Oryzias latipes: one gene and its partners. The protein of the gene in region 5 purifies or fractionates together with the protein of the main gene of each other region. This does not show direct contact. Links are inferred from orthologs where the notes say so. Each region holds a gene or a part of one and is shown on either strand. Other genes may lie near its edges.

Region 1 (4,009 bases), on a different chromosome or scaffold from region 5:
TATTATTTACCTATACTTTAAAATACAAAATTTGGACTGTAACCTTTTTTTTTTGTAGTTTGGGTGTTTCTATTCTGGAACTTGCTTGTAATATTGAGGTTCCAAATGGTGGTGAGGGATGGCAGCAACTCAGACAGGGCCATCTTCCCTCAGAGTTCACAAACGGTGAGGATGACTTTCTTATAACCATTAAAAATGTTTACTAAGCTTAAATTAATAACAGACTTCTGCTTTTACCATTTTAAAGTTTCCCCACAAATGCAAAACATTTCCCTTTTTTTTTTATTTTACTGTAAAACATAGTCGAGCCTTTACAGAAATGATTTGACTCTTGAAAACTGTGTTTCTAAACATGTTTGCAGGCTTGTCTGCTGAGCTTCAGTCAGTCCTCCGGATGATGCTGGCTCCAAAGCCGACCCAGAGACCCAGCGCCTCTGAACTTCTTTCCCTTCCCTCTGTTAGGAAACATAGATGGAAGAGGCGCTGTTGTCTCATGTTTGCTGAGGCTATGCTGACACTGGCCTCCCTTTGTCAAGTAAGCGCTACATAGTTTTTCAGTATTTCTTTACACCATTTAAATAAGTATAAAGCAGAAAAATTGTGTTTAAAGACCCACTCCAATCATCTTTTGATCTATTTTAAAAGTGTTCCCAGTGGTCTGTTAATTATGATTATGTTGTTATTAGCTAAAGTAAAAAAAGATGTGTTGTTTTCTAGGACATAGTTTCTGCAGAACAGCAGTTCTTTGTTTCAAATTCACCTGTAAGTTGTAGTGATGGGTAGATAAGGCCTTGTGAAGCATTCAGCACATTGCTCAAACTGAATTGATACTGTGTTACTCAATACTGACCCCTGCTGGACTGAAAACAACATGGCAGGCAACCAAGTTATGAAAATCCACTCAGAATCAGAAGTACTTTATTGATCCCACATGTGGGAAATTTGTGTCATATACTGATTAAACTAGTGTAAACAGTAACACAATATTTGTCATTGTAGTTGTGGCTTCCTCATTTCCATGTCTCGCTCTATAGTTCCCCAGCATTGAGGAGCTGCTTTTAAGTTTGATAGTTCTGCTGAACAAATGTGACATTTAACCTTCAAAACATAAAATGATTGACTTTAAATAACAATCAGGCGGAAACTGAGAGGGACGGGGGAGACAAAAAGCCAAAAACACAATTAAAACTATGAAATAATTCAACAAACCTAATTAAAACACCACATTTATCACCTTTAGGAAAGATTCATTAAAATAAAACGTCATACACCGGTGGGCGCGCATCTGCTACATGAAAGTTGTTGTTTTTTCCTACTCTGTTAAACTGGCCACTGGACTGATTTAAAACCCAAGTGACAGAAATGTAACAGAGAGGATCCAGTAATTTTTCAAATTAAAATATTTTTCAAAATAAAAGATGGCTTAGATGTGTAATAAAACTAAAAAAAAACTAAAACCCGCTAAATTGACATGAAACCTGCCCAAAGCAAATTTTCTATGCATTATTCATTCATTGATCTTCTAAAAGGTTTGTTCCCTTTCATGGTCACGGGGCTGGCGGAGCGTATCCCGGGGACGTCCTGGACAGGTCGCCAGTCTGTCGCAGTTCTAAACAATATCAAAATTTAAATTACCCGATTGGGCGGAAACTGCAGAATCTGGCAACCGTGCTGGTAGATGCGCTTCCTTGTTTGGCTTCTCTGTGACACACCGACAAAGTGGCTGTATTGGTCACCGGAGTTTTCCTGAAGCGATACGGACACCGACACTCGGGTTCACTTTTTAGGCTGTACTGTACTGTGTTAAAAACAGAATGACCAGATTGTCTTTTGTTTTCTCCCCTTTGTGATAGTCGGTGGTGTACTTCGGGTGCAGACTCCTTTCACCTTTTAACTTGCCCTTCCTCCCCCGCTGGACCGCGCCCAGGCCCTGTACTCCTCCTAGGGACAGTTGGGAGGGAGATCTAACACTTTCCCTCACCACTGTTCACTCCGACCCCTGCAGTCCACAGGATGATTCTGTGGTTTTTGCAGACACAGACCCAGAACTCTCCCCTGCCTTTTCACGCAGGTAGATCTCTTTACATTGCCTGCAGGTGTTCTTGTTTGTTTCTCCCTCCTTTAACTCCCTCTTTATGCACTTCTCCTCAGGGTTACATCCAGACTCTCTCTGGAAAGCACGTCCACGCCCCTCTCGGGGTCACCAGTACATAAACACGGGAGTCACGTCAGCACACCCACTCACTCAGCTATTGGGGACTGGTCCTGCCATTTGGGCCTGACCCCATCCAGCACTCATTCAGCCAACAAGAGCCAGCTTCACGGAGAGCGCCGTGGAAGTCCTTCATCCACCAAGTCCACAAGGCTCTGTGGTAGAAACTGGATCCTTGCAGGAGACACCTCACCCCGATCCAGCTTGGAGCCAAAGAACTTGCTTTCTCTGTTTGAGGAAATCACAGCTGAGTGAAGCCATAAGTAAAAACTGCCATTTTACACTAATGTAAGAAGTATTTTTCTGTTGAAATTCTCAGATGATGTCAAGTTATCTGCTTTGTATATAGTTTAGTGCTTTTTTTGTAATAGTCCTGCCACTGCTTGTATTAATATGTATTTAAAAAAAAAAGAGTGGATTCTGTTTGACCATACAAACACGCCTTAAGCAGTTGCTGTTTGATGTTAAAAGAGCATGGCATGATTTGTTCTGGAATGTTTTGCAGCATCATTAACCCTGAGACAATAAAAGCATGAATTTGGAGGTGAAATCACATTGTGGGCCATTTTGTGCTTCTAGCTCACCTGAATACAAAGCTTCCTGTAGTTTGTTTCTTAGTTCTTACAAGTTAATTGCTTTATTTGTTACCCCTTTTTCAATAAGAAATAACACTCTAAAGTCAGAAGACAAAAAAGTGTATTTCCAATCTTGACCGCTAGATGGCAGTAATAAAGTGCACGTTGTTTGGGTTATGTATTGATAAATAACATAAACACATATTTGAATGTATACTCTGTTCCTGTACAGATACTCAACAGAGCATACTTTGTGATTTAAAAAAAGAAAAAAAGTCACCTGACGTCTAAGACGATGTTAGGGAAGTTTCGGGGGGGGGGGGGTCCTCAAATTTCAGACATAACTGTAAAGCACTAACTCCAGTGATTTTTGCATGCAACGAATTTACTTGCGTGTGATTGGTAATATTAGTGAAAGAACTCATCAAATTAAAAGTTTCTATTTTTTTAACATTTCTTTAACAATAAAAAATGTTCGCAACTTGTGCCAGACATGTTATGAACACGCACATTTAAAGATACAAGTGAATAAAAAAATGACTAAAATTTGCTTTAGTTGTGATAGCAAAGCAATGAAACCCCCATCTTAACGAGTAACACAATAACAGAACATAGGCTTTTATTTTGAAGACCACTGTTGACATCAACCTTGTATTTCCGGGAGTTGCCAGCTGTTTTGTTGCGTTCAAGGTTTTGGGGTGTTTTGTTAGTAAAGACTGGGACGTTCATTCGCAGTTTTTAAGTCGATTTAATCTCTTCACGGGCTAAACGTTGCCAACTTTATCAGCACAGTAATTGTACAGCCGCGATTTTTTGACTCTCGAGGTTTTTAACCAAAGACATTATGGTTCGGAAGGCTAATGTGGCTAACATCTGCTGACCATTTAAAGTGAGGTGGGGAATGGAGTTAGCAGCTTGCAGGTAGGTAATACTGCAATTTAAAACGTCTGAGGGTATTCGGGGCAAAAATGCATAGGTTATAAAATGCATTTTATTTTTATTGATTTTGGAAAACTGCAATAAATAGTTAAGTATATTGAAATTACTGCTTGTTATTAAAAAAAAATTGTTTCCAAGAAATAAACAATTCAACCTTTGTATATAATTTCTGATCTTCTGTTTTAGAATTTTAAGAAAAGGAAGCTGACATTTTGGCAAAATCTCTTATCTTAAATGTGGTTTAGAACAGATCACTGATTCCCCATTAAGTAAACAATTATAT
Region 2 (4,824 bases), on a different chromosome or scaffold from region 5:
GCATCCTGTGCCAAAGCAGAACGACCGTATCCTGTGCCAAAGCAGAACGACAGCAACCTGTGCCAAAGCAGAACGACAGTAACCTGTGCCAAAGCAGAACGACAGTAACCTGTGCCAAAGCAGAACGACAGTAACCTGTGCCAAAGCAGAACGACAGCATCCTGTGCCAAAGCAGAACGACCGTATCCTGTGCCAAAGCAGAACGACAGCAACCTGTGCCAAAGCAGAACGACCGTATCCTGTGCCAAAGCAGAACGACAGTAACCTGTGCCAAAGCAGAATGACAGCAACCTGTGCCAAAGCAGAACGACAGTAACCTGTGCCAAAGCAGAACGACAGTAACCTGTGCCAAAGCAGAACGACCGTATCCTGTGCCAAAGCAGAACGACAGTAACCTGTGCCAAAGCAGAATGACAGCAACCTGTGCCAAAGCAGAACGACAGCAACCTGTGCCGACTGTTTTTTTCTTAGCTGCACTCAGATTTAGAACCCAGTCGCGTTGATTCTCAGTTTAAAGTTTAACCCGTTCTCTTTATTTTTTTATGCACCGCTACTTAAAGGAGAAACCATAAAAGCATTTTTACTTTTTGTTACTAGTTGCAGTAGAACTGGTCTCAAATCTACTATTATCATTCACTGATTCTGAAACACTTCAATTTAGTTTAATTGTGTCTGTTGGCCACTTCACCTTAATCCTGTTCCTTAAATGTTGTTATTGCTTCTTCTTAAATTTAACATCTAAAATAATCCAGACGTTATTAGAAAAGTGTTTCAATTAGAAAGATGACTTGGACCAAACTCTGGGATGTTTGGCTGTTAAGAAACACAAACCTTGAAGGAGAACTAAACTGTTGACCTTTGATTTCATCAAGAAGATTTAAAAACTGTTGAATGTGTGTTCGTTGTGATTTCAAGACGTTTAACAGGGAAGACTCATTGTAGCGCAAAGTAGGGCTGGGAATCACAGGGTACCTCAAGATACGATACGATTTGCGATACATTGCTCACGATAACGATACTATCACGATATGGCGAAAATCTCGTCTCTAATTACGCTCGATATATAAACTTTAAGAAAAAGAATTTGAAAGGGTTATTTTGGAAAATATTTCCCCATTTATTTTTTAAAAACCATGATAATAAACAACGTGTCGTGTGTCCTATTTGGTGTAATGAATAACAGACTTTTGTGTAGCATTGCTGAAATCAGTAACACTCTGTCTTTGACAACCAATGATAATTTTCTTTTGGAAATATTTGTACAATTTGGTTTAAACAATAGTGAACATGAACAGCAGCCATTATTTAGTACAAAATTGCTGTAAACACGATAGAAAATGAATAAGTCCAGTAGATGCCAGGCACATTGGTATTAACTTTTGAAAAACAAACCCATAGCCATCATATTATTTAAAAAATAGCTGTGAATCAGATACTAATTCTGTGAACAAACTATAGTGTTTTTGTTAAAAATAAATGACACCATTTAGTGCAAATGTGGTGTAAACAAAAATATAATTCTCCCAGAAAAAAAAAAAATCAAGTAGCTAGAAACTTTCCTTTAAGTTATTTAAGACATAAACTGTTTTCTAAATAAATGACCAGGGATAAAATACGTGAAGAACTTAAAGTGCATCCAAAAGGAAACATCTTTGTGAACAACACGATTGGGGAAAAGCTGCATGTGATGTTCTGGAGAACCACAGGCTTTTTAGTGTCAAGACGCTGCTCATCTACCGCTGCTTTGAGGAGAAGGGCGGTCTAAGGGCAGGGATGCCTCTCTTTCTTCCGTTTCCATGTCAACCATAGCTCTGGTCTGGGCGTACAGCGCAGGGATCCTTTTTTCAGTATTTCCTAGAGGGAATGTCAAAGCGTTACTCCAATGCATTCAATAAAAGCCCAAATCCCTCGTTCTCCACCTCGCTGCAGGAAGGACGGACACCGTTTTCCATTTGTATTGCCAGTTCTCTGTCTTGCAGAAAACGGCGGTAGCTTCGTCTGGAAAAAGGTATCCGCGCCGGGCCGTGTCGGCTTCAGGCCAGCAACAGCCACGACTTTCTCACACAATTCCGTTGATGCAGCTTCAATGGTGCCGGCGCGTCTTTAAGTTGCTGCTCTAGCTTCTCATTGTTTTTCCGCTCCACCATCTTTGTTTGAATGTGTATTCTTTGTCCACCTGCAACAGCTAATCTTGCAAAGAGCGCCCCCTATCGACCCTCCGAAGAATCGTCTTAGCAAAGGATGATTAATATAACGTCTTACAGGGTCTTTAAACGTAAATAAAAGGTTGATACTTGATGAAGACGTCTCGAGAATCAATCGCGGGACTAAATATCGCGATATATCACCATATCGATATTTTGGCACACCCCTAGCGCAGAGATGCTGTCACTTTAACCCAATGCATCATGGGAGATGTAATGATGGCAGACAGACTCTTCTCTGAGCTTCATTTTATGTTCACTTGTTCCACGGTCTGATACCAGATTCTGTGGAAAGCTACACCACTAAAGACGAGCTTTAGCTGGTATTGTTGTTGGAACTGAGAGACTTTATAAGCAGAATCAGAACAAGGAAGTGAAGACTTTAACCACTTCTCATTGGTCAGACTGATGACGAATGATTAAGCCTCCAAGAATGATTGGCGGAGACAGTTAAAGGGGGCGGGACTTTTCCAAAAACAGAGCTGAATCTGCAGCTAAATCGCGGTACCGTCATTCTTATGAATGTGTCTTAAATAGAATCAAATAAACACGCAGAAAAAAGTATTTTATGATCTTTTATATTCCTAACTATTCAGGGTTTAATCAGGGCCTGTTTGGATGAACACAGAGCCTATATCCTGGAGATGGTAAATGTTTTTAGATCAGTTAATGAGGGTCATTTCCCACGGCACACTAGTGTGCCGCAGCACACTGGTTGAAAAATACTGGTTTAGACCACGATATGGACTTAATGTGTGTTAATGAATCACAGAGATTTGCAGGGATTTTTTATACCTCCAACAGGTGTGTGCATTTCTAAATATCTGTTGGATCGGGTGGTGTGTGGTTGGGTAACTACAGACAAGTGTGTTCTGCTTCTTAGACCTGCTATTTTTTTCTTCAGGCCGCGGTGTGGCAGGCACTGAACCACTATGCCTACCTGGATGCAGTTTTTCTTGCCGAGAGACTCTATGCTGAAGGTAACATGTCCCGCTGGCAAGCCAAGATTCCTCCTACTTGCTCACCTGTCTATCTCCCCCCTGGCAGTGAGGTCAGAAGAGGCTCTCTACCTGCTGGCTACCTGCTACCACCGCTCAGGAAAGCCCTACAAGGCGTACCGGCTGCTAAAAGCTCACAGCTGCTCCACGCCACAGGTTCGATTCCTGCTGGCAAAGTGCTGTGTGGAGCTGAGCAAGTAAGAACTGAGTCCCACTGTACAACATGGTGCCTATGTTGGCCAATAAATACATTTCAGTTTCACTTTAACTTTCAGTCTCTGTACTGTTGGTCTGCCTTGTTTCTCTGTATCTGAGTGACTGTGTCTTTCTGTCTTTCTCTGCCCATTTGTTTGTCTGTCTTTCTGTCTGTACGCCAGTCTGTCTTTCTGTCTGTACGACAGTCTGTCTTTCTGTCTGTACGACAGTCAGTCTTTCTGTCTGTACGCCATTCTGTCTTTCTGTCTGTACGCCATTCTGTCTTTCTGTCTGTACGCCATTCTGTCTTTCTGTCTGTACGCCATTCTGTCTTTCTGTCTGTACCCCAGTCTGTCTTTCTGTCTGTACGCCATTCTGTCTTTCTGTCTGTACGCCATTCTGTCTTTCTGTCTGTACGCCATTCTGTCTTTCTGTCTGTACGCCATTCTGTCTTTCTGTCTGTACGCCATTCTGTCTTTCTGTCTGTACGCCATTCTGTCTTTCTGTCTGTACGCCAGTCTGTCTTTCTGTCTGTACGCCAGTCTGTCTTTCTGTCTGTACCCCAGTCTGTCTTTCTGTCTGTACCCCAGTCTGTCTTTCTGTCTGTACGCCAGTCAGTCTTTCTGTCTGTACGCCATTTAGGGTTGTGCCGATGGACGATATCATCGTCCATCGTGATGGGTGACTAACATCCCGATGGAGAGACCACCATCGTGATGCCACGCCCCCGCCACGTTGCGCGTCGACACCATAAGCCGCGGTTACATGTACAAAATATCTTGATGGGATCAATGGTCGGATTAGAATCCAACCGTGTAGATGGGCCCAGAAAAATGTTTTCAGAATATAAAAACGTTCACTAAGGTCACAATTTCGGTCGGAATAAATCATTCGCACATGCGCAGTATTCGCACATGCGCAGTTTGAAAACCGGAAGGGGATACAACTTCCGCCGAGCGGCTTTTTTTCCAAACTTTATTGGATGTAACAATTCAATACAAAACGATAACAGCACCGAGCGGCTATATATATTGACATGTCAGCTCGGTAAAATACGAGATGATCTTCTAAACGTGCTTTTAATAATGTTACGGTTATTATCAAACACCTGTTCGCTCATCATTTGAATTTTAATCCGTGTGGTCAGTGCTTTTTCTGAACGGAGCCAGGATTAGCAGTATGCTAACACGGGCTAACAACATTAGCTTTGGGTGGCGCTGCACGTAAACGTGTAAGAATAACATCAGCCTTTATTTAGTCGGGACACGACTGGAAACACAAATCCACGTGATTGTTTGAATGTTTTCTAAGGACTGAGCGACATTTCTGCTTTGATGCTCAAACCGCTGTGTGTGCTGACGATCCGAGCTGTGCTCAGACACACGTTTAGACCCGGTTCTGAGTTCGGTTGCTTGTACCCCTAGAGC
Region 3 (5,506 bases), on a different chromosome or scaffold from region 5:
TTCCATAAATGTGAACAAAAAAAAAAGTCAGATTCAATTCTCTTTTAATTGATTGCAACACATTTTATAACCACACATTACAAAATGAACAAATATTTTATCAGGCTCAGTTTGCAACCTTTTTGACAAAAAAAAAAAAAAACTACCCAGAAATTTATAAAGTAAATGCCACTTTGGATAACCGTAACTTAAAAAAAGAATTACTCTACATTTAAAAAAAAAAAGTTTGACATAAATAAGTTAGTATAATTTCTCAGTGTCTTTTTTATTTTATTTTTTACAAAAATATGTACGCATGTACACTGTAAAGGTTTACACGATCACATGACTGCGTTTGTGAGACGCGCCGTTTTGTGTCTCCATCCAGGTGGAGCCTGCTGTCTTTGAAGATAAACCAGATGTTAGCGGGGAAACAAAGAAGCTTTTGGAAGCCGGAACCTCCATCTTTAGCAGGTTAACAAGGGTGGAAAACAAATAAAAGCATTCAAGGTTATCACAAAGTCATACGATGTGAAGTCAACTCTGAAAACCAAATAAAAGCGAGTGTGTATTTGGTACAGGAGAAACATTTAACTTAGGTTTGACAGCCTGGAAACATGTGCATGGTCTTTGTCCTTCAAAAAAAAAATGAGTGCCTCACAACTCTGGGGATCGAAACATTTACAAAATAAAAGCATCAGAACTCCAATTTTAAAATAAATATTAAAAAAAAAAAAAGGAAAATAAAAGGTACTTGCTGAAATTTTTAATTTCATCCTGTGCCATTTCCTGTGGATCTTTAAAAAAAAGAAAAAAGAAAAAGTGGCCTCAACACAAAAAAGGGAAGAAAAGAAAAACACGTTCATTAGGCAGATGAGCTACATTTGTACCATTCCTTGCTGTTGAGTTAGGAAGATGACGGCATAAAGGCACACTGTTGAGAAACTAAAACCATGATTTTCTTTCTTTTTTTTTAAATGTAGCATTTATGGACTGGGTCAACACCACAGTGCCTTTCAAAAATATTAATAATAATAATAAAATGCAAACAGAACAGCATTTTGGAAACATGTTTCAAACCGAACACTTCAAGTCAAATCAAAATTCACACCTCTTTTACACAAAGGATTAAAAAAAAAAAAAAATCAATGTTTTTATGTGCTACATAGAAAACATATATATTTATTTATTAAATTATTTACACACAGGTAGTTAAAAAAAGAAAAAAATCAAACCTAATTGCACGCTGCTACATGGACTGCTGTTAGAGGCAGTAACATTTCAATGAGTGCCACAAACTTTAGTGTTTCTCTTCAGTGCTTCAACAGCGTCCTCCCCCGTCCTCAGGAGAGCTGATATGTTTCTGATGCTGTGTAGATCCTCGTCCAAAAAAAGGAAAGAATAATTAAAAAAAAAAAAAAAAGATCAACGCAGTCTTAAAAACAAAAAAACAAAAAAAAACACATGCACGCATACGCAAACACACTCGTACAGAGAAAAAAAAACTGGGAGGGGCACATCTTGAGCTCTGTTGGAGATCAGAACAAAAGACAAAAACAAAGAGGTTGAAAGGTTAGTACTTTTTTTTCTTTTAGGAGATGCAACTACTACTGCTAAAGTATTGACAGTGTTCTGAGGTATGACTGAAAAAAAAGAAGAAACTAGTCATTTCCAAAAACAAAACAAAACTATCAACTCAAATAAAGCTCGGCTGCATACCATTTACAAAAACGTGCAATTTTTTCAGTTCTGTTAACTTTTATTTTTACTAAGAAGAGACGAAAATGAACATGGGATTTTTTTTTACTTAAAGATAAATCGAAGTCAAAGTTCCGCTAATTTAACCTTGACTTTTTTTGCCACAACCTTTAAAGGTTCACACCTGACAGCTTAGAGCAGGTTTCTGTGCTCCTTCTCTCTTGTGGGTCATAGTAGACCTGCAGAACTCTCGTACTCTCCTCTGCAGCAGGGAGTGTACATGTCTGCGTGTGTTTCTGCGCGCGCGCGCTCAGAGACCTGCCCCTTCCCGTCCGCGCGGAGGCCACTGGCTGCTGACGTGTTACTACTACACTGTTGTTCAGCTTGTTGTTTACAGTTCAGCAGACGAACATCGGCCGCAAGGAGGAAAAAACTTTTTTTTTTAAAAATTCTTTATTGGCGTGTCATATAAATCCTCTTGGTTTAATAAACAGACTTCACTTTTTTGCGCTAGAATGCGTCAATACAAATAAAAAAAAAAATGATGTAAAATTTAATATCTTTTTTTTTTTTTAAATTCGAGGTTAACAGTTTTTTTTAAATTGAAGTGGTTCGCTCACCGTGTCGCCGTGCTCACGTTGGTCTCTTGGGGCTGGTCTTTCTGGGTGTGTGTTCTGCAGACTGGCTCAGGCTCGGACAGCTAACCTCCTCCGGGCTGGTGTGAGACTTCTTACTTGGGGCCGAAGGGTCTGCAAAAATAAATAAATGAGTAAAATAAACTATATATTACAGAGAGAAAAAAATGGTCGGGGTGCTCAATGTTCTCTGGGATTTTACGGCAGTTTCCCCCGCTTTACGACCCCCTCATCCCGCATACCAGTACCGCGAGCACAAAGCTGCCGCCCGGCGATCTGTTACACAGCAACGGGTCGTTTGATGCTAATGTCATACCGTGACACGCAGGTCTCTTCCTCAGCCCGCCGCACTGCTCCGTGCACTCCATCTGAGCGTCAGAGCGGCTGGGAACTGTCCCGACACAGTCATGATTCCCGTTTAGATCCACATTGTTATTCCCGGGGCAAACGCCTCGTTCTCGCCGCGGCAGGCGGGTGTAGAAACTCGGCAGGTCTCTGGCGTTCACCAGCTCCCACTCCAGCCTGCTGTTGGGCAGCGGTGTGTCAGTCGCGAAGTCGAAGCCCCACTTGGCGGAGGCAGCCTCTTCAAACTCCCGCAAATGTACATTTAAATCCCTCTTTAACTCTTCGTGGTCCACCGAGCCGAAGAGGCTCCTGCAGGCTGACGGCTTCGGGTGTTCCGACACCCGGGGCTCCGTCCTCTCCAAAGTCGGGCTCCCGCTCGAAAGTCGAACGTTAGACATGGTTAAGCCCCCCGGAAAAAAGGTAAAAATTTCAAGCAGCCGGGAGCGTCCAGTTTTCAGGCGAAAAACACACCTCAAGAAGAAAAAAGAAAAGAAAAAAAAGGTATGTCCTCCTAGTCACGGGGAAAGATCCAAAACAGGCGTGAAACGACCATGCGCACGTCGAGCTGGAGGCAAACACGGCTGCGATTTCCTGAGCCGAAGACGGCTTACGCCAATCATCCAAACGACGGGAGAACGAACCAAAGCTCGCTGTCAACGTCGCTCCGTACAGCGGGAAGCGGAGGCGAACCTCTCGGTACCCAATATGGCGATTGAGACATGTAGTGGGGATTGAGAGGGGAGGTTGACTTTGGAGGGAGGGGGAGGAGGGTTACACATGATTGACATACGGAGCCATTTAAAACCCAAGAAGCGCACTCATTGGATGGAGCTCTTTAGACCCGCCCACTTTATTTAAGGTAGACCGAATAATTGCATAAGGCATGCTGTTCTAAACATATTACTTACCTTTTTTATTTTTTTTACAAAGTAAATAAGTTCACACATTTGATGTAACTTAATGTACAAGTTTCAAAAAGTAAAATGGATTAAACATTTTAAGACATCTAAATTTGAAGAAAAAAATTGGATTGCAACCATACAAATAGTGCCAATATGTTCTAAAACACACATATTCAGTATTTATTTTAAACATTTTGGATGTACAGTAAAATTAATAAATACAATTAAAATGGAGTAAAATCCAAAACAAAACTGAAATTGTTGCATCATATTCTTTCAATGGACACTAATAAATGAACCTGTGGTCCTAAATGGAGATAAAGTCCAGTAAGAGGACCCCAAACTGAGCTGATTTAGTAAAAGCCTAATAAACATTTTAATTCTAAAAAATTTTCTTACCGTAACAAAATCTGTACATATATCGGAATTATTGACTGAAAATATTTATATATGAAGTAATAACATATAAAGATGAAAATAAATTTCTGCTATCCTAAAGTCAACTGTTTTTTTCCAGATTTATCATAAAGCTTCTTAGTTTTTACTTTTTATTCACATGCAAAAAAAAATAAACACCCCTAAATGAGAATAGAGGGCAGCTTGATGCTTAAATTGAAAGTGGCGCAGTCGTCTTTAAATAGAACCAAAAGCCTTTTGACAGAAATGATGCAATCTAATTTAGCTGTGAGCAATTATTTACTCAAAGGGTCAGAGCAGGATAGGAGGTGCAGCAGTGTTCACTCAACCACTGTCAAGCCAACAGCGCCCCCTAGAGCTTCATCTAACACACAACTCTGGAAGCACAAATCTTTTAATACCTTTAAATACTAAAGTTGTCTGTACGATTACATTTTTAACAAAGGCCACATGGACTTACAGAGTCACCATTATGAGTCCGCTACAGTCTGCTTTAGTCGCCTACCTTGCCTGTAAGTCCTTTACGGCGTACAGGCACTGCGGTGGGCGGTGCAGCCTCAAAGACCGAGCCACTTGATGATGTAGTAGTTCCTCTTGCCCACTCTGAGCAGAGTGAGTCCGTTGGACAGGACGTGGAGTTTGGGGACGAGAACCTGCTCCGGTTTGTCCGCCCGTGTGTGGTTGATCCACACGGCTCCGTCTGAAACCATCTGGTACCTGCAAGCGAACACGACGGCTCAGTCAGGATCCAAATCCCATTCATTTCAAGTGTTTTCAACCAAACCCAAAGCAGCAGGATAGAAATCTTTGTGTATTTCAACATTTAGTGGATTTGATTCCTCCGACAACATCTAGGGGAAAAAAAGGTTTGGTGGAAATGTGTGAACACAAATCTTTGCACAAACGCTGGTGTTTGTATGTAAAGAAAAAAATAATAATAAAAAGCAACTTTTTGAGACTTTCATGGTAAAGCAAATGGAAAAGTCCACAGAACAAGTTTAGCATAAACATGAATATACATATGTGCACCAAACCAATGTGATTGTTTTTGTCCCCATTTGGTAACAGATTTAATGCTTTGATCGAGTGGGAATCCAGTAGTTGGGCTACAACACATTACAGGCAATTGACTCAAGAGCTATAAAGCCAATAAAAGAGGGACACTGCTGAATTTTAAAGCTATTTTTTTATGTTACGTGTGTTTATTACAGTGACCCTGATGAGCAAATCCAATCAACAAATCAGTCAATGCAAAAACTACATTAGATGATTTGTCTTCGAGTTTCTGATCACAGTCAAAGTTCAGTGGTTGCTCAATCAACTCCACCGCAGTTTTGAGCCAAACATCCTTATGCTTTTCATCTTTAAAACTCAAACATCATCGTCCAATCGGTGATGTCCCATAGTACCTACCTTTTCAGGTTCCATATTTTGTTTCATTTTTTTAACATTTCCTTTTTATTTTTACGTTTTAGTTTGTAGAATTTGTTTTGATTTCTAAAATGTAATCCTTTTTTAGTATTTGTTGTG
Region 4 (4,824 bases), on a different chromosome or scaffold from region 5:
TGAAAAACACTGACATAATCATCCGCCTACATGGTAATATCCGGTCCGCGTAAACTGAGTGTGACGTCATACCGGTCAGTGGCGTTAAAAAGGTTGGTGACCACTGATTTAGAGTGTAATTTAAGTTATGTCGACTCTTATTTAAATTAAAATGCTGCAGTGAAATAAAAATATTTTTGGTTGTTTTGCTATTTTTCCATGTATCACAAGTTATTTTGTCATCGCAATATTGATCACTAATATCGCATCGTGCCATAAGCAGAGGCTTACTACTGTGCCTGAAGTCCCGCCCACAACTCAGAGGTGCATTTCTAATGAACTTCTGCTTCTCTGCAGAAACTATGTCCTAGGAAACGCCGCAAGTTATTGGATTTTGGCTAAAAACGTATTTCAAAACCACTGGGAACACTTTGAAAATAGATCAAAAAAAATAATCAGAGCGGGACTTTAAAATCTCAATTAGTCACCAAAAGATATTTAACAAAATTTGCTCAATGATTGCTTAGGAGAAATACAAAGAGAATGATGAAAATTCAGATGATCAAAGGCGGATCACCTCTTGAAGATGTTTCTCCAAACTGCAGATAAAAAGCCAAAGTTCAGCGTGGGCTTTGTCATCCTTCAGTCTGTCAGAGTTCTCCGGAGTCTCGACCTCGTCTCCAAGCAGACGCAGAGCTTCACGCGTGAAATCAACTGCAGCACTGTGTGGACACAAAGGAAACCATTGAGATTTCCATCATTTTAGTGCCCAGCAAACATGGCCAGAGAGGATCAGTTTCATTCCCATGGTGTGAACATAGGGGCACAAGGCATAAAATGAAAAAGACATTCTACCAAGTATTGATTAGTAAATTATGGAAAATACATAGAAACGCTCTTACCAGTCGGTGTGTTCTCCAAAGTCCTGGAAGCACACAACCTGAGCCATTTCACAGAGGTAGAGAGCACGGCGATGGCTGTGAGAACTTTCCTCATTACAGATGTCCAGGAGATCACAGAGAGTGTTGTAACGCTCTTGGGCTGTGTCTCTTGGCAACTCCTTGTACGTACGCAACTCTTCCTCCAAAAGGCAAAGCATGATTTGCTCATCAGGAACATCAGCACCAAAGCCGTCACGCAACGTTCTGAACCATCGCGATACAGGAGAACAAGGGAGGGAAGACAGGAGGGGCTTTACTTCAACTAGAAAAAAAAACATTTCTTCATCATAGGACTTGTTGCTACCTGAGTCTTATGTCTTCATCAGAATTATTGACTGCATCAGTCTTGGTTTTCACCCAAAGAGACACAGGCTCGGACATGTGAGTGGTGATGTTGTCTCCAAGAGCTTTCAGCCACAGAATCACCCACTGCAGGGCTCGGTCCAGCTGCCCGGCCCGGCGAGACGTTTGCACAGCCAGCATGAAGGGTCGATTCAACTGGGCGGCAACAATTCAACAGCATTATTCACAAGCAGTAAAGCCAGATCTAAAACTAGGGACGTAAAGGATGCAGAAACGTCTCAAAAATTCATCTATTACTGGGAGTAACAGCGGTAACAACCATAGATACAAACAAGATTACGTTGGTAAAGAGGTATAAAATCAACCCAGAACTAAATAATCGATTTCTTTTCCTGTTGTGTTTCTGTCACTGTCTTTTTCTAAACGTGATGTAAACCAAAAGACATCCAATCACACGCTTGCTTCTACTAAGTCAGGTCAATTCCAATTGGCTGAAGGTGAACCACAGTTTTGTGTTCACTAAAAATATGATAAACAATTTTTCACAGCACTTCAAATAGCTAAATAAATTAATAGGACAAACTTTTTATTTAACCACAGAGAACCGAACACTCTAAAATACACAAAATACAGGTTTTTATGTCATGTTTTTAAGTTGTTCTGTCCTTTGTTTGTTTTTTTGGTTTTATTGCTCAAAATAAAAAGGGCCTGCAAAAAAAAAGAAGAAAAAAAATAACAAAATGTCTCTTTTAAAAAGGCATTTTCATTCATAGGTTTAATGCCAAAAGAACAATAAATATCTGGATAAGGAGTCGGCAACCTGCAGCTGAGTGGATAAAGGCCTCATGATGCAGAACCTCGCCGGGTCGTCCTGTTGTATTTTGTGAGCAGGTCGGAACCAGGAGCGGTTCGGAACCAGGAGCGGGTCGGAACCAGGTGAGCTGCTCGTCTCTGGAGCGGTTAAATATTAGGATTAAAAAAATCTAAACTATCATCCCGCATCACCGCCACGACTCCCGCCGGCGTGAGATCCAAACAATGTTCCGACCCAGGTAGGATAAGGATGGAGAATTTCGAGAAAATGGAAATTCCTGAGGAAAACAGTCTACCGTAATTTCCGGACTATAAGCCGCTGCTTTTTTCCTGCGCTTACAGCCCTGCGGCTTATTCAGTGACGCGGCTAATTTATGGATTTAATTGACGGCCGCCATGTTCGCACTTACAGACTCGGTGGATGGTTTGAATTCTCTGTCTAACACCAAGCACGAGTTATTAGTTTTGTAACACACCTCTAAGCAGCCAAACAGCATGGACCTGAGTTCAGGTCTAAGACACTTCAGTCATGGTTCAACAAAACGAAACACGCATGCCCTGCCGCATCCCAGAATCCTTTGGTGCCATTAGACCCAACGTGCACGTGATCGCCGCTACAATATGATGAAGCTTTCAAGTTAAAAGCAGCGTGAAAAAAATCAACCATCACCAACGGGTTTGGAAAAGCCGGTCAGCTGCGTGAAGGAGAGAACAGCGCATGCTCAGAAGTGTATTTACCTCTGAGTCATAGTGACTCGGCTGGCTGCACGTAAATATGTGTGAATAACATCAGCCTTTATTTTGTCGGGACACAACTGGAAACACAAATCCACGTGATCGTTTCACGGTTTCTAAGGACTGAGCGGCATTTTGCATTAAAAAGCTCACAGCCGCCGTGTGAGATTTTCGGATAGGAAGGGGAGACAAGGAGCCCGCTTGGCGAGCGCGGAGCGCAGAGGCGTGTTTGTTTGTTTTGGACGGAAACTTCTGACGCGCGCGCCGCGCTGAGGCGCGCGCGTCAGAAGTTCGCCGCTGCTTTATTTTAGTGGTGTGTGTTTTTAACCAGCCCTGTTATTCCCATAACGCTGCCGCGACACAAGTGGAAGGAGAGCTGTTCCCGTTCACCCCTCCATGCACTGCTGATACTTGCTCATTCTTAAACACGTACAACAGTGTGGCAAGCCGGGCGTTGGCCCCGCCTTTAGCCCCTAAGACTCATGGGAAATGGGGGATCGCGGATGTAAGTTTCCTCATCATAACTGAGGGATGTAATGTTGATTACATGGTTACTGTTTGTAATTTTATGTATGATACCTAGATTGTCAATAAGTAAAAGAAACAAAAAAAAAAAAAAAAAAAACATAACTGAGAAACTTGTGAACAGAGTAGAGGTCCATGCTGTTAGGCAGATGTGGGTGTACTTAAATACATGAGCCTCAGGCAAGGCTGGCCCAGCCACAGTATGTTACTGAGTCACACTTATCCTAGGAATCAGGATGTGATTTGTCAGGATGATCATGCTGCCCAATACATGCGGCTTGTACTCTGATGCGGCTTGTGTATGTACAAAACTAGTTAAACACTTTAAAATGGGTGGGTGCTGCTTGTAATCGGGTGCGCTGTATAGTCCGGAATTTACGGTATTTAATGGCAACTGGGTAGATTTGTTTGCCTTCAACAACTTTACCAGTATGATTGATATATAATAAAGAATTGGCAAACAACAAAATATCAAATGTGGAGAGACATCCCAGAATAAACACACAGTTTATGCCCAAAAACATCCTGATCCCAATGAGAAAATAAGTCTGTTTGTTGACAAAAATCTATGGGAGAAGCAGATTAACTGCTGGTTAATGACCACAAATTTGTTAGATCTGATGACTCTCTGGAAAAGTTTCTCATCTGAACCCATGAAATGACAGAGGATACAAATAAAAATGAACATCACTTCACAAACTCTAAAAACAAGTGAAATGCTGCCGTTCACTGGAAACACCGGGTTTTCCAAAGGCTGTTGTGGCTCCCTGTGTTTGATTTTCTGTGGGAAACTGATCCAAATGGCTCTTTGAGTGGTGAAGGCTGCCGACCCCTGATGTAGATTGTATTCATTTAGGTAAAAGAATTGGACTGCATCCTATTGCCACAAAGTTAGTTGATATTCGTGGACCACGTATGGAGATCAGAAATTATATCAGAAATTTACAAATTCAAATAACAGCACGTTTCTGCAAAATGGTTTAGCCAACATTGAGGAGTAATGTTTTTGACACTCACCCTATCAACAGACAATGAAACGGCGTGCTTCTGGCAGAGATCTTTGCAGAGGATCTCCACTATGGTGAAGGCTTGATCGTACAGGTGACGGTTGTACAAACCACATACCATGTTGCTCACAGCAACCACTGCAACACAAAAGGTCCTACCAATGAAACACAACACCCCTGAAAGGCAGAACCTCCAAACAGACGATATTAAAAAACCTGCTTTGGTGAATAGATTTTCATTGGCCAACTTCTGAAGTTCCTTCATCAGCAGTCCAGTTGTAGACTGGCAGTAGAGCAGCACTCTCTGCAGGAGGTCCGGCTCCTCCAGCTGGGAAAAGGTTTTTAGAGTAAAGACGTGTTTACAACCAAACGCTAGCATCATGAGGGGTGAATTAGTCTTTCGCCATCAAGTATTGTTCTCACCTGCGATGCCAGCATGCTCTCATAAGCAAATACAAAGCTCTGGTAAATGCTGAAGCACAGGGTCTGCTGCAGTCTCCTGCTGTCCAAATGCTTCGACA
Region 5 (5,389 bases):
TTTTTAAACTTATGGTCTAAATACCAACATTTAAATCCTCAAACATCTGCAGACTGTTCTTAGAGCACCCCCTAGTGGAGAAATAAAATCACAACAGGAACTAATCTTAGAATAAGGCCATTTAATATACATTTAAAAAAAAATAAAAATCAGAAACATCCCATACAACAAAAATTTAAAAGAATAACTGTACATATTACATAGTCACCTCAACACAGGTAGCATATTGTTGTAAATCCACATGTTTAGAAACATTTGCCTGCTGGGTCAGGAGTTCAGCCGGCTAGCTAACAAGTGATATAGAGATAAAAACAAGTTTGTGCATTTCTGTGGTCAGATGTAGCCGACTGAGCTCCAAGGAGTTGGATGCTTTTGGTGAAACTACTGTGATTGAGGGCTGTCTGTCACAACTTCAGGCACACTTTTAAAATAAAAACAAAACTGTAGTCGGTAAAAAGCCCAATCCCAAGAATCCCAGCAACAGTCCATCTGTACACGGCAGCACACTGTGCTGTCCTCACTAAGAAATCTGCGTTGCCAGATCTTTCACCACAGAGGATTTGAGCTGAGAGATGGTGGCGATCCTCATCTGCTTTGATGTAGAGTATTTTCCTTTGATGGCCTGTAGGGGGCATAACTGTTAGAGTTTGTGCAAGTTATGGCTTACAATAGGATTAAAAAATAAAAGATTACCATGTGTTTAGTTTGCCCATTGTTGACTTTCACGACATTCTTAGCGATGTGCGCCATAACAGGTGTCAGGGTCTCTGCTGTGTACTCCATGTAATGCTGCAGTGTCACATCCTGGGAAGGAAGACATTCATATCCAATGCTGTCCCAGGCAAGTCAGCGATGAGAGCAAACCCTTCAAGTGTCACTCACCCATTCCCCTGCATCCAGGACCTTGAGAGTCAGCGCCAGAGCTGCACTCGCCACCAATGAGGGCGGGAAATGAGCCATGTCGTAGTCAACCATGGAGAGCTCCAGCAGGTATTTGGCCAGGGTGTGTTGTTCAGCAGTTACCTGAAGAAAAATAAAATCCCACCTTCACCTCAGCACATGCAGTGGTGGAAGAGAACAGTTTGCCGCACCGACACCGCGCCACACCTCATAGATCTTGGAGGCCCTTCTGAGGAACTGCAGCGGGAGGGGGCGGCCCAGCTGAAACTTCAGCACTCGCAGAATAGTCATTTCCATGTCTCTGATCTGAGCAGTGGTGTAAGCCCTGTCCGTCACGTAGGCAAAGTCTGAGATCTCCGGAGGGTACATCTCCTCGTATTTGGAGGCCAGGAACATGGCGGTCACGCCAACCAGCTGCAGCTGCTTCTTGGGGACTGGATGGTCCTGTTGAAAGGACCGCAGACAAAATAAAAGAAAAATCTCAGCACACAAGTCAGTTAGAGGACATCTGTTATGAAATTATTTTTTTTTATTGAATTATGGAGCACATCTAGTCTGTAGAGGAACACTGACAGACTCACCTGAAGAAAGCGGTCGATTATTCCCACAGTCATGTACATGGTCTCCTGCAGCAGACGGAACTTGAGGCCCACTTGTACCAGCCAGTCAATGAGGATGGCTCGCATGTTTCCGGTGATCTCCTGACCCTCAAGGTAGTTTGGCTTTACGCTCTGCTCCATCTACAGGAGAACAAACGTCTCTTTAGGGAAACGGCACACATCAGGAATGCAGCTTTCCGGGTTTTAGTCCGACCTCAAGCTGACGGAGGTACTTGTAGATGTCCTTAACATATTCACTGCAGAGCATGGGGTTGTCGTAGTCATCTGCATCCACGTCCCTGATGGCCGTGTTGAGGATGACATCTGAAAATGCTTGACAGAGGTCAGCAGACTCACATCCAGAGGTCTCCATGGGGGTGGGGGATGCACGTTCAGCCTGGGCTGGCACCTGTGAGAAGGTCATGTCAAATCATTACACGTCACCCTAGTGGTAGAGCGTCTGCCCCAAGACTGGTAGGCAGAGGGTTCAAAACCAGTGGAGTCACAGCAAAGACTTCGGATGGAACCAAAGCCTCCCTGCTTGATTCAAGTGGACACATCAGAAGGGAGCTGGTGACCTGCCGGTGGGATTTTCTACCTCACAAATAAGCCCTTATCCAAACAAACAGCATTTTTTTTCTCAATTCACAACATTTGAATAAAGTAATCAGAAATGAAATTTCAATCTCATTTTCTTTAGATGAATCTTTTATAAGAAAGAGGCCACAATCAGAGTGGGTCTGTAAGGGGTTGGATTGGGAGTGGTTAACCCACCATATGGCTCCGAAGCACAACCATGCCTGGAGCTCACTGCTGCCCCCAGAGGATGGGTCAACCACGCAGGACAAATGTCCCAACCAGGTGTGTGACAACCAATGACACCAACTCACCTCAGTCACCTGCACTTCAGGTGCTGGTTTAACAGGGACCACAGCAGCTTTTGGTAGCTCGATCTTCTCAGCTTTAGCTGGGATCTTTGTCTTCTTAGCAACCTCCGTCTTGATAGTCTGAAGAAAGAAAGGTCAAACCCAAATACTGCTATGCATTTTACAGAGCTGGGATCTTTTCATTTGAGTTCTTTGCTTCTTGCACAGTTTGGGAAATCTCTACAGCTGCAGGCCAAAGCCACAAGTCCTAGCTGTACAGGTTTTGAAGCTCTGCGCATTGAGCTGATAGTACAGCAGTAACAAGAGTTTCTCTTAACAAATGTGCATTCAAACTCAAGTTGTTGTTTTTTTAGCAAAGATTTAAATTTACAATTGATGGTGTACATTCTTAGACATAGTTCCAGGTTAACTGTGCTCCTCCAACCTGGGATGCATTTTATACTTGACTAAGGGCCCCAGTTCAGCACAGTAGACATTTTCTCATCAGAACAGGCCCAACCCCTCACTTCTACACCAAACTTGCCCCAAAAAAAGGTTAATCACTTTACTTCGATAAGTGGAAAATACATTTATATAGGATTTTTAAAAAAAAAAAAAAAAGATTTTACCTTTTTCGTGACATCTTTGTTAATAACTGCGACGTTTCCGATTTCTCCGAGGGCCGCGCGGGGCTTCTGTGTAGGCCCGGCCACCGAGCACGTCTTTCCGCCCAGTTCGGCCCGGGTGGAGGCCAGTCGGTTCTGCAGCGAGAAAACGGACAAAACAAGGCGCGCTCGAGATAAACCTGCAGTGGTGAAGCAGCACGTTCAATAAATTCAAGCCAACAATATTTGACCTCTAGCTTCCGCTCACATACAGCCACATGACAGTCCAGTCAGAAAACACGTCAAAACATTTAAAACCAGAGAAAGACGCGCTTCCTGAAATCGTTCTTTTCCGGTAAAAACAGAGAGGAACGTGTAACGTGGTTCAGACTTACCCTGGTAACTCTCAGAGCCATGCCTTTGCCTGCTTCTCTTCCACAAACAACCACGAAATTGAAGCGGAGAAGGTGAAGATTCCAACGCACGAGTCGTGGTTTAAATCCTCGCTCGCTGCAAACCGATTGGCTGCGCTGGGCGGCTGCGGCGATTCTGATTGGATAAACGAGTACGTGTCAGATGCGCTCCCAAGACAACTTTGGGTCACGTGATCACGCTCTTCTTAGGTCACTTCCCTTACCCGGATATCTAACTCCGTTCTTCTAGAGCTATTAAAATAAAAACATTTGTAGATAAAAACATACACTACTTTATTGTTTGCATCTAAACAAGGAAAACACTTTTTTAACGCAAAACAAAAAGAAGAAGAATCAAGAGGATCTCAAAAACAATCCTTTACAAAAACAAACAGTACACTGAAGCTTATTTTTTAAGTATACTTGAGCATCATTTTACCAAGCATGCTGCTATAGGTTGGATGTATGTATAGTAGAAAGTACAAAATCTGTTAAGGGTTAACAAAATTTAGTATCCTTAAATGCACTTCAAGTAGGCTAAAAGTGAGGCAGTGGACTTGAAGTTTACTTTTTATATCTATATATTTTAAACTTAGACAGACTGGGCTGGCGACCTGTCCAGGGTGTCCCCTGCCTTTGCCCGTAACATGTGGAAAGGCTTCGGCAGCCCTGTGACCCCAAAAGGTACAAAACGGAAGAAGATAAATGTATATATAGTAAACTTAAAATGTTCCAATTTAGTCTATAGATGTATTCAGTTAGTATATTCCCTACACTACATGTGTATACCGGCTATACTTGTTATGCTCAGTTATACTTAATCAAATAAACTCAAAGTCTACCACTTATTGCTAATAGAATTGAATGTTGCCCTAAAAATGATTTTATTCTGACACTTAATGATTTTCTCAGTTTATTGTCATTTTTTATGTTAAAACATGTTTGAATCCCTCCGTGCAAAAGAATGCATATATATATATCTTTTTCTTTTTACAAAAAAGCTCATTAGTCCTGTATTCGCTACTAAAGTAGAACAGTGGTGTAGTGATTTGTTCTTTTGCCTCAGTAGGGCCTGGCTCACATCCCAGCCGGGTCTTTTCTGAGTCAAGTTTACAAGTTTACCCCAAGCATGTGTGGGTTTTATCCTGGCACTCAGGCATGTGCAAACATATTTAGGTTAATTGATGATTCACAATGTCTGTGACTGTGTGGCCCTGCAATGGACTGGTAACCCATCTGGAGTGTGTACAGCCTTCACCAAAGGATCCAGTGACCTCAAAGAGGATCAGCAGGTTTGAAATTGATTTTCTTTTTCTCCTTTTAATTTGAAAACACCTTCTAGTGCTGAAGCCTTTCACACAAAATGCATGCTGTCAACACATTTTTAAATGTTTTCATGCAGCTCAATCATTTTCTGCTGCAACGAAAAACTAATACAGCTCTGATCATTTTTAAGTTATCACCTCTGAACATGACCAAAAACAACACAGCGAACAGTCATGTGTTCTTAACTCCAAGCAGAGGAAAAGCGGGAACTCTGGCTGCATGTCTTTCTGTAAACCGTCAACAGAGATGTCAGTGCCTAAAAAACAATTCTATTATAAACAGAATTTTCCTGCCATAGTTTGAACTATGATGGTGGATTAAAAAAAAGTATACTTTTACTGAAACATGATTCAAAGTATTCTGGAAAATGGTGCAAAACTATGAATCTTCTTCTCTCCATCTCTGTGAGCTCTTCAAACCGTTCCTTCTGCTCCTCTCCAGGATCCTGAATGATCTTCTGCTAATCCAGTCTCATTTGGTGAGAATGCGTTTACAAAGATGAGGAGCCTGAGCGTTTTCTTTTTCCGCACACCCCATGGCGCTGGAGTTTCTACCCGTGTGTCCTGCTGTCAGCACCTGGACATGTTGACACCTGTGTCCCCCCTCCCAGAGCGTTGAGGGAGCCGCTCAGCCCACTCAATCCCAGGTAGACATGTTGGGATGTTGGCGGAACTGCAACG
Region 6 (4,248 bases), on a different chromosome or scaffold from region 5:
CTGGAGTCCCTTGATGAAATCTAAATAAATGTATATACGTTTGTTTGATGTGCTTTGTGATTTTCTATCTCTCACTGTTCAAATAAATCTACAGATGACAGATTGTCCTCTATTGTACCTGCAGAACATATTGGGAATTTCCTCCAGAACAGACATATAACACTAAAGCAGATTGCCATAAAATGCAAAGTAAAGCCAACAGAGAGAAGGCTGCAGTTGATCTGCTGGAGGGGGCGAGGACGGATCTCCATTCACTGTTTTTACGCCTCCTCTCTGCTCTTTGTCTCTTTCTTTTACTTGTTTAACTATAATCAGGATTGCAGCAAGAAGTATCACCAATGGTTTTCTTGGTGACTGTGGTCACAGCTGCTTTGAGATCATCAACCCACTCCTGCCGTGTTGTTTATTACCTCAACTCCCAGCACGAATAACCCAACAATTGTGTTGAAGAAAATAAAGGTGTGTGTAGAAAAACACAGATAAAACTCCTTCAGCGCTTCATCACCTCTTCCTCTCCTTGGATTGAGTTAGGATCCAGAAAAACCATCAGCCTTTTATTTCAGATTTATCACGGATCCACACAAACACGATGAATAACACAATAAATAAGAGTCGACTCCTGAGGAGCTGAAAAGTGATCGCATGACCAGAAGCATCAGCAGAAGTGCATTGGGGCAGGTTTGCTCTTTTCGAAGCCGTCAGTTCATACATGATTAAAGTGACCTTACATGACTCTCATCCAGATTAGGCGGAGCAGCAGGATTTGCTGGACAGATATGTCGTTTACAAGCGGAGAGCAGTAGTTCCATCCATGACACCTTTGCTCCTGATGGAAAAACCTTCCTCACGAATACATTTGGACCTGAAAATACTGTTCCTGATCGTCCTTTACGCACCTTAAAATACCTACAAGTACAACTTCTGTGCAATACTGCAATGTTTTTAGATTTATACTACTCAAATACATCTGATATATGCTGAATATATATCTATAACCCTTGTGCTATCTAGTAGGGTCCAGATGACCCCACTCCCAACGTTAACATGCCTTGGGAGCACGTTAACGTTGGGAGTGGGGTCATCTGGACCCTACTAGACATATTGGCTTGTACAGCTCACCGTCTTGTGGGGTCCAGGTGACCCCAGTTGGAAGTGGGGTCATCTGGACCCCACAAGACAGTGAGCTGAACCTTTTTTTTCAATGTTTACATGAAATCCTCTCCACCTTTATCTACATTTCTCATGGTAGGGATAACACGTCAATGTAAGGGTGGGGTCATTTTGACCCAACAACATAGCACAAGGGGTTAATGCTCCAAAGAGATAAATTGCTACACACTGAACATTCATAATCCAGAGCCATTCACACGTCAGGACAGAGCAGCAGATGAATTTGACGAATAAGAGACAGGACATGAAGGGAAATGCAGGTTTGTGGTTCGTGATGGAAGCAGAGCGTCTCTAGACTTGGAGACGTTGAATCTCTTTTTCCCAATAGTTCATATAAAACTCTTCACTTCAGCATAAAAAAAGGGGGGACATTGTGATTTTAACACATGCTGTACATCTTCCTCCTCTCCTGTGGGTGGGAGCCGAGATGTGGAATGTACAGCGGCGAAAATGTCTGTCATCACTTTGGCAACCGCTTGATCCAAATGAGGATAAATCCACTGATTCCGTGGATTACCGTTAATCTTCTCTGCTCAAATGTCCCCTTCTTAGCCCAGGGAAAGGCACCGATCCCCCCCCACATACAGTAGCCTAATTAACTGAGCAGTGAAATGTAGCTGAACCCCTCCCGAGTTCACAGGTACGGACTCCTGCGGAGGGCGTGGCTTCTGAGTGGGGCGTGGCGTGTGCGCTCCTCCGTCACTCGCCCGATTTCCGCGGCATCCAGACCATTCGTCGTTTAGCTTGGTAGAAATCTGCAGGGATGAAAGCGACACTGAGCTCAGGGGGAATCGGTGCAACGACACAGACGCAGCTGAACGTTCCACTCCCATCATATTTTGAGAAAAGCCTTCCCTGTCGTCTTTTGATTACGATTATGCCTTTTTTAGCCAAAATGAAATAATCTTGTCGTCACCTCTGAGATGTGGGCGGGGCATTAGCTCAGAGTAACCCCGCCCCTACCTCCCATTATCCATCTATTTGTACCCTCTCTAGCTGGCTTACAGCCCCTCACATTACTCTTCTAGCTCAGACGAGGGACTAAAAAAGTTTTTTGGACCTATTTGTCTGTAAATGAATGCAGATACTCTCTTTTTCTAACATTTTTTATCTGCTTTGAACAATTAAATACTAAGCTTTTCTTTATAAATGTCCTCCATCGTCAATAAAGCGTCATAAGAACACGATTCAAAACAAATGAAAGCACCTGTGATGTTTGTCTGTTTCCTCTTCATCCCGGCCTTCTCCTCCTTCTCTGGTGTTTTCTCCACGTTGAAGATGTTCTCTGTCAGTGGGATGTTCTCCTTCTCCCTCTGCGGCAGCTCAGATCTTCGTCTCTTGGGGGGGGTCCTGGTCTCCGCCGTCTTCTGGACCCGTCCAGCATCCTGACAGCGGTACAGCAGCGGCACTCCGGCCCCCGGGACGCTCTCCCACAGGAAGTGGCTGCCCTCCAGGGGCTTGTCGGAGCGGAAGTCGAAGCCCCAGCGAAGGGACGCTTCGTCCAGGTCTTTCCGCAGGGCGGCCTGGTACTCCAGCTGAAGCTGCTCCCGGTCCACCGGGCCAAACAGGTTTCGCCTCGCGGGCCTCCTGGGAGCGGCGGGAATCCGCTTTGGAGCAGCCATGGTTCTGCACTGTTTGAACACAGAACACTCCTGGTTAGATCTCAGATGTCATATGATGATGAGATGGATCATGTAAAGCAGTAAAAGAGTCAAAGAAAAACCCAAAGTGTAAAAAGTTCCGAGCTCACCATGACTGTTCACTCTACAGACCATCAGAGAAAAGCAGAGCTGTGCCTCTCCTCTCCTCCCTCCCTCTTAGGAGAGGCTGAATCATCGGTACATGCCTGGACATAATCTGACAGGCCGACAACACAGAGCCGCCACTAGGGGGCAGAGTGGCAATGACAGATCCACCACCAGAGGTGTCCTTCCACCTCAGTCTGCATGACAGACCGCATCACCCTGAACAGGACATTTTCCTTTTTAGGAAAAAAGGAAGTCCATCCCAGGCCAGGCTGGTTATCCAGGAGGACAAAATAGTCCACAGTAAAGCTTGTTGTTTTTTTTTTAAAGAGAGCAGAAAATGAGGATAGACAGCAAACAAACCCCCAGCAGCTTGTTAGATATGATTTTATTATAATACATAAATTAAAAATGGTTGTTCCTGTTTTTTTTTTGTTTTAAAAAACACTTTAGAAAACAATTTATACCAAAAATATGAATATTTTCCTTTATCTGGTTTAAAACTATTTCCAGTTCTTTAGTGATAATGTTTAAATTAATATTTAGGTTTCTCCACATTATAATCCCGCTGTTCTTAAAGCTCAGACTGATGGATATTGACATTAAATATCTTATTTTTGAATGTTTTGATTCTTCCATTGAGGCTGGAACGGTGATCTAGCAGAGTAACCCAGACTTTTCATGACGTCATAGACCGACATAAAGCTTCTGTTGTCTCTTCGGGGCGGGGTCACTGGGGGCGCGGCCGACTCCCATCGGGGCGGGCGTTCAGGCCATGGCGGGAGAGTATGAATCCGGGTTTGGACCAGCCCCGTTCGGTTACTACGAGGCTCCACGTGAACCTGGAGCACGTGTCCCCCATTCAAACGGGGCTGTCACCGCCGTACTCACGCGGAGGACGCGCGCGCGCATCAAAACACCCTAGATAGGACTTCTGGAAAACTTTTTTTTGATTTAATAAGTTACCAGGAAACTTTTTTAATTCATATAACCAGAATGTTGGATCAACGACGCTGAAGTTAGCATCCGATTCACAGCTTCCGATTCGCGAGTGCACTAAAGGAGCATTCCACTGTTTTTTTTGCACTAAGATCTCCTTAGATGGGGTCCGGTTCAAAAACTGCTGGACCTAGACTGCTCAAACCTGGATTAAATTATGATTTAGATACTGAAGAATACATTAAACACAGTTTCTGATTTGTGAAACCTTCCTCTGATTTGTGAAAATGTGAAATAGGTTGATTTTTATCGTATTTTACGCACTGAGTCCACCTTAGACCGGGTCCTGTTCAAAAACCACTGGACCTGGACTGCTCAAACCTGGATTAAATTA

The links.
Region 1: the proteins of ccnb1 (region 5) and pkmyt1 purify together in Homo sapiens (affinity purification with mass spectrometry; 5 studies listed by BioGRID and IntAct, with this or other methods). This does not show direct contact. The link is inferred for Oryzias latipes from reciprocal best matches to the Homo sapiens genes CCNB1 and PKMYT1.
Region 2: the proteins of ccnb1 (region 5) and cdc27 purify together in Homo sapiens (affinity purification with western blotting; 6 studies listed by BioGRID, with this or other methods). This does not show direct contact. The link is inferred for Oryzias latipes from reciprocal best matches to the Homo sapiens genes CCNB1 and CDC27.
Region 3: the proteins of ccnb1 (region 5) and cdkn1b purify together in Homo sapiens (affinity purification with mass spectrometry; 5 studies listed by BioGRID and IntAct, with this or other methods). This does not show direct contact. The link is inferred for Oryzias latipes from reciprocal best matches to the Homo sapiens genes CCNB1 and CDKN1B.
Region 4: the proteins of ccnb1 (region 5) and espl1 purify together in Homo sapiens (affinity purification with western blotting; 5 studies listed by BioGRID and IntAct, with this or other methods). This does not show direct contact. The link is inferred for Oryzias latipes from reciprocal best matches to the Homo sapiens genes CCNB1 and ESPL1.
Region 6: the proteins of ccnb1 (region 5) and cyclin-dependent kinase inhibitor 1-like purify together in Homo sapiens (affinity purification with western blotting; 8 studies listed by BioGRID and IntAct, with this or other methods). This does not show direct contact. The link is inferred for Oryzias latipes from reciprocal best matches to the Homo sapiens genes CCNB1 and CDKN1A.

The regions. Positions count from the first base shown.
Region 1 is NC_019877.2:7,447,756-7,451,764, reverse strand, and holds the end of pkmyt1 (membrane-associated tyrosine- and threonine-specific cdc2-inhibitory kinase), read left to right. Parts: intron 1-58; coding exon 59-165; intron 166-362; coding exon 363-535; intron 536-1,853; coding exon 1,854-2,071; intron 2,072-2,151; coding exon 2,152-2,467; 3' UTR 2,468-2,762; downstream 2,763-4,009. Other genes in the region: zinc finger protein 16-like, read left to right, coding at 3,689-3,708. UniProt on the Homo sapiens protein: Acts as a negative regulator of entry into mitosis (G2 to M transition) by phosphorylation of the CDK1 kinase specifically when CDK1 is complexed to cyclins. Mediates phosphorylation of CDK1 predominantly on 'Thr-14'. Also involved in Golgi fragmentation.
Region 2 is NC_019866.2:78,302-83,125, forward strand, and holds part of cdc27 (cell division cycle protein 27 homolog), read left to right. Parts: intron 1-3,108; coding exon of another isoform or gene 3,109-3,136; coding exon 3,137-3,399; intron 3,400-4,824. UniProt on the Homo sapiens protein: Component of the anaphase promoting complex/cyclosome (APC/C), a cell cycle-regulated E3 ubiquitin ligase that controls progression through mitosis and the G1 phase of the cell cycle.
Region 3 is NC_019864.2:11,435,487-11,440,992, reverse strand, and holds cdkn1b (cyclin-dependent kinase inhibitor 1B), read right to left. Parts: upstream 3,377-5,506; 5' UTR 3,056-3,376; coding exon 2,629-3,055; intron 2,427-2,628; coding exon 2,311-2,426; 3' UTR 2,298-2,310; intron 1,508-2,297; 3' UTR 28-1,507; downstream 1-27. Other genes in the region: yars2 (tyrosine--tRNA ligase, mitochondrial), read right to left, coding at 4,534-4,693. UniProt on the Homo sapiens protein: Important regulator of cell cycle progression. Inhibits the kinase activity of CDK2 bound to cyclin A, but has little inhibitory activity on CDK2 bound to SPDYA. Involved in G1 arrest. Potent inhibitor of cyclin E- and cyclin A-CDK2 complexes.
Region 4 is NC_019863.2:4,429,353-4,434,176, reverse strand, and holds part of espl1 (separin), read right to left. Parts: coding exon 4,727-4,824; intron 4,632-4,726; coding exon 4,520-4,631; intron 4,442-4,519; coding exon 4,314-4,441; intron 1,419-4,313; coding exon 1,225-1,418; intron 1,125-1,224; coding exon 882-1,124; intron 702-881; coding exon 557-701; intron 1-556. UniProt on the Homo sapiens protein: Caspase-like protease, which plays a central role in the chromosome segregation by cleaving the SCC1/RAD21 subunit of the cohesin complex at the onset of anaphase. During most of the cell cycle, it is inactivated by different mechanisms.
Region 5 is NC_019870.2:25,678,817-25,684,205, reverse strand, and holds ccnb1 (G2/mitotic-specific cyclin-B1), read right to left. Parts: upstream 3,475-5,389; 5' UTR 3,387-3,474; coding exon 3,366-3,386; intron 3,127-3,365; coding exon 2,995-3,126; intron 2,507-2,994; coding exon 2,390-2,506; intron 1,909-2,389; coding exon 1,714-1,908; intron 1,641-1,713; coding exon 1,482-1,640; intron 1,345-1,481; coding exon 1,108-1,344; coding exon of another isoform or gene 1,048-1,107; exon of another isoform or gene 1,024-1,047; coding exon 883-1,023; intron 805-882; coding exon 694-804; intron 623-693; coding exon 521-622; 3' UTR 102-520; downstream 1-101. UniProt on the Homo sapiens protein: Essential for the control of the cell cycle at the G2/M (mitosis) transition.
Region 6 is NC_019863.2:2,307,454-2,311,701, forward strand, and holds cyclin-dependent kinase inhibitor 1-like, read right to left. Parts: upstream 2,806-4,248; 5' UTR 2,802-2,805; coding exon of another isoform or gene 2,793-2,801; coding exon 2,378-2,792; intron 1,926-2,377; coding exon 1,870-1,925; 3' UTR 1,825-1,869; downstream 1-1,824. UniProt on the Homo sapiens protein: Plays an important role in controlling cell cycle progression and DNA damage-induced G2 arrest. Involved in p53/TP53 mediated inhibition of cellular proliferation in response to DNA damage.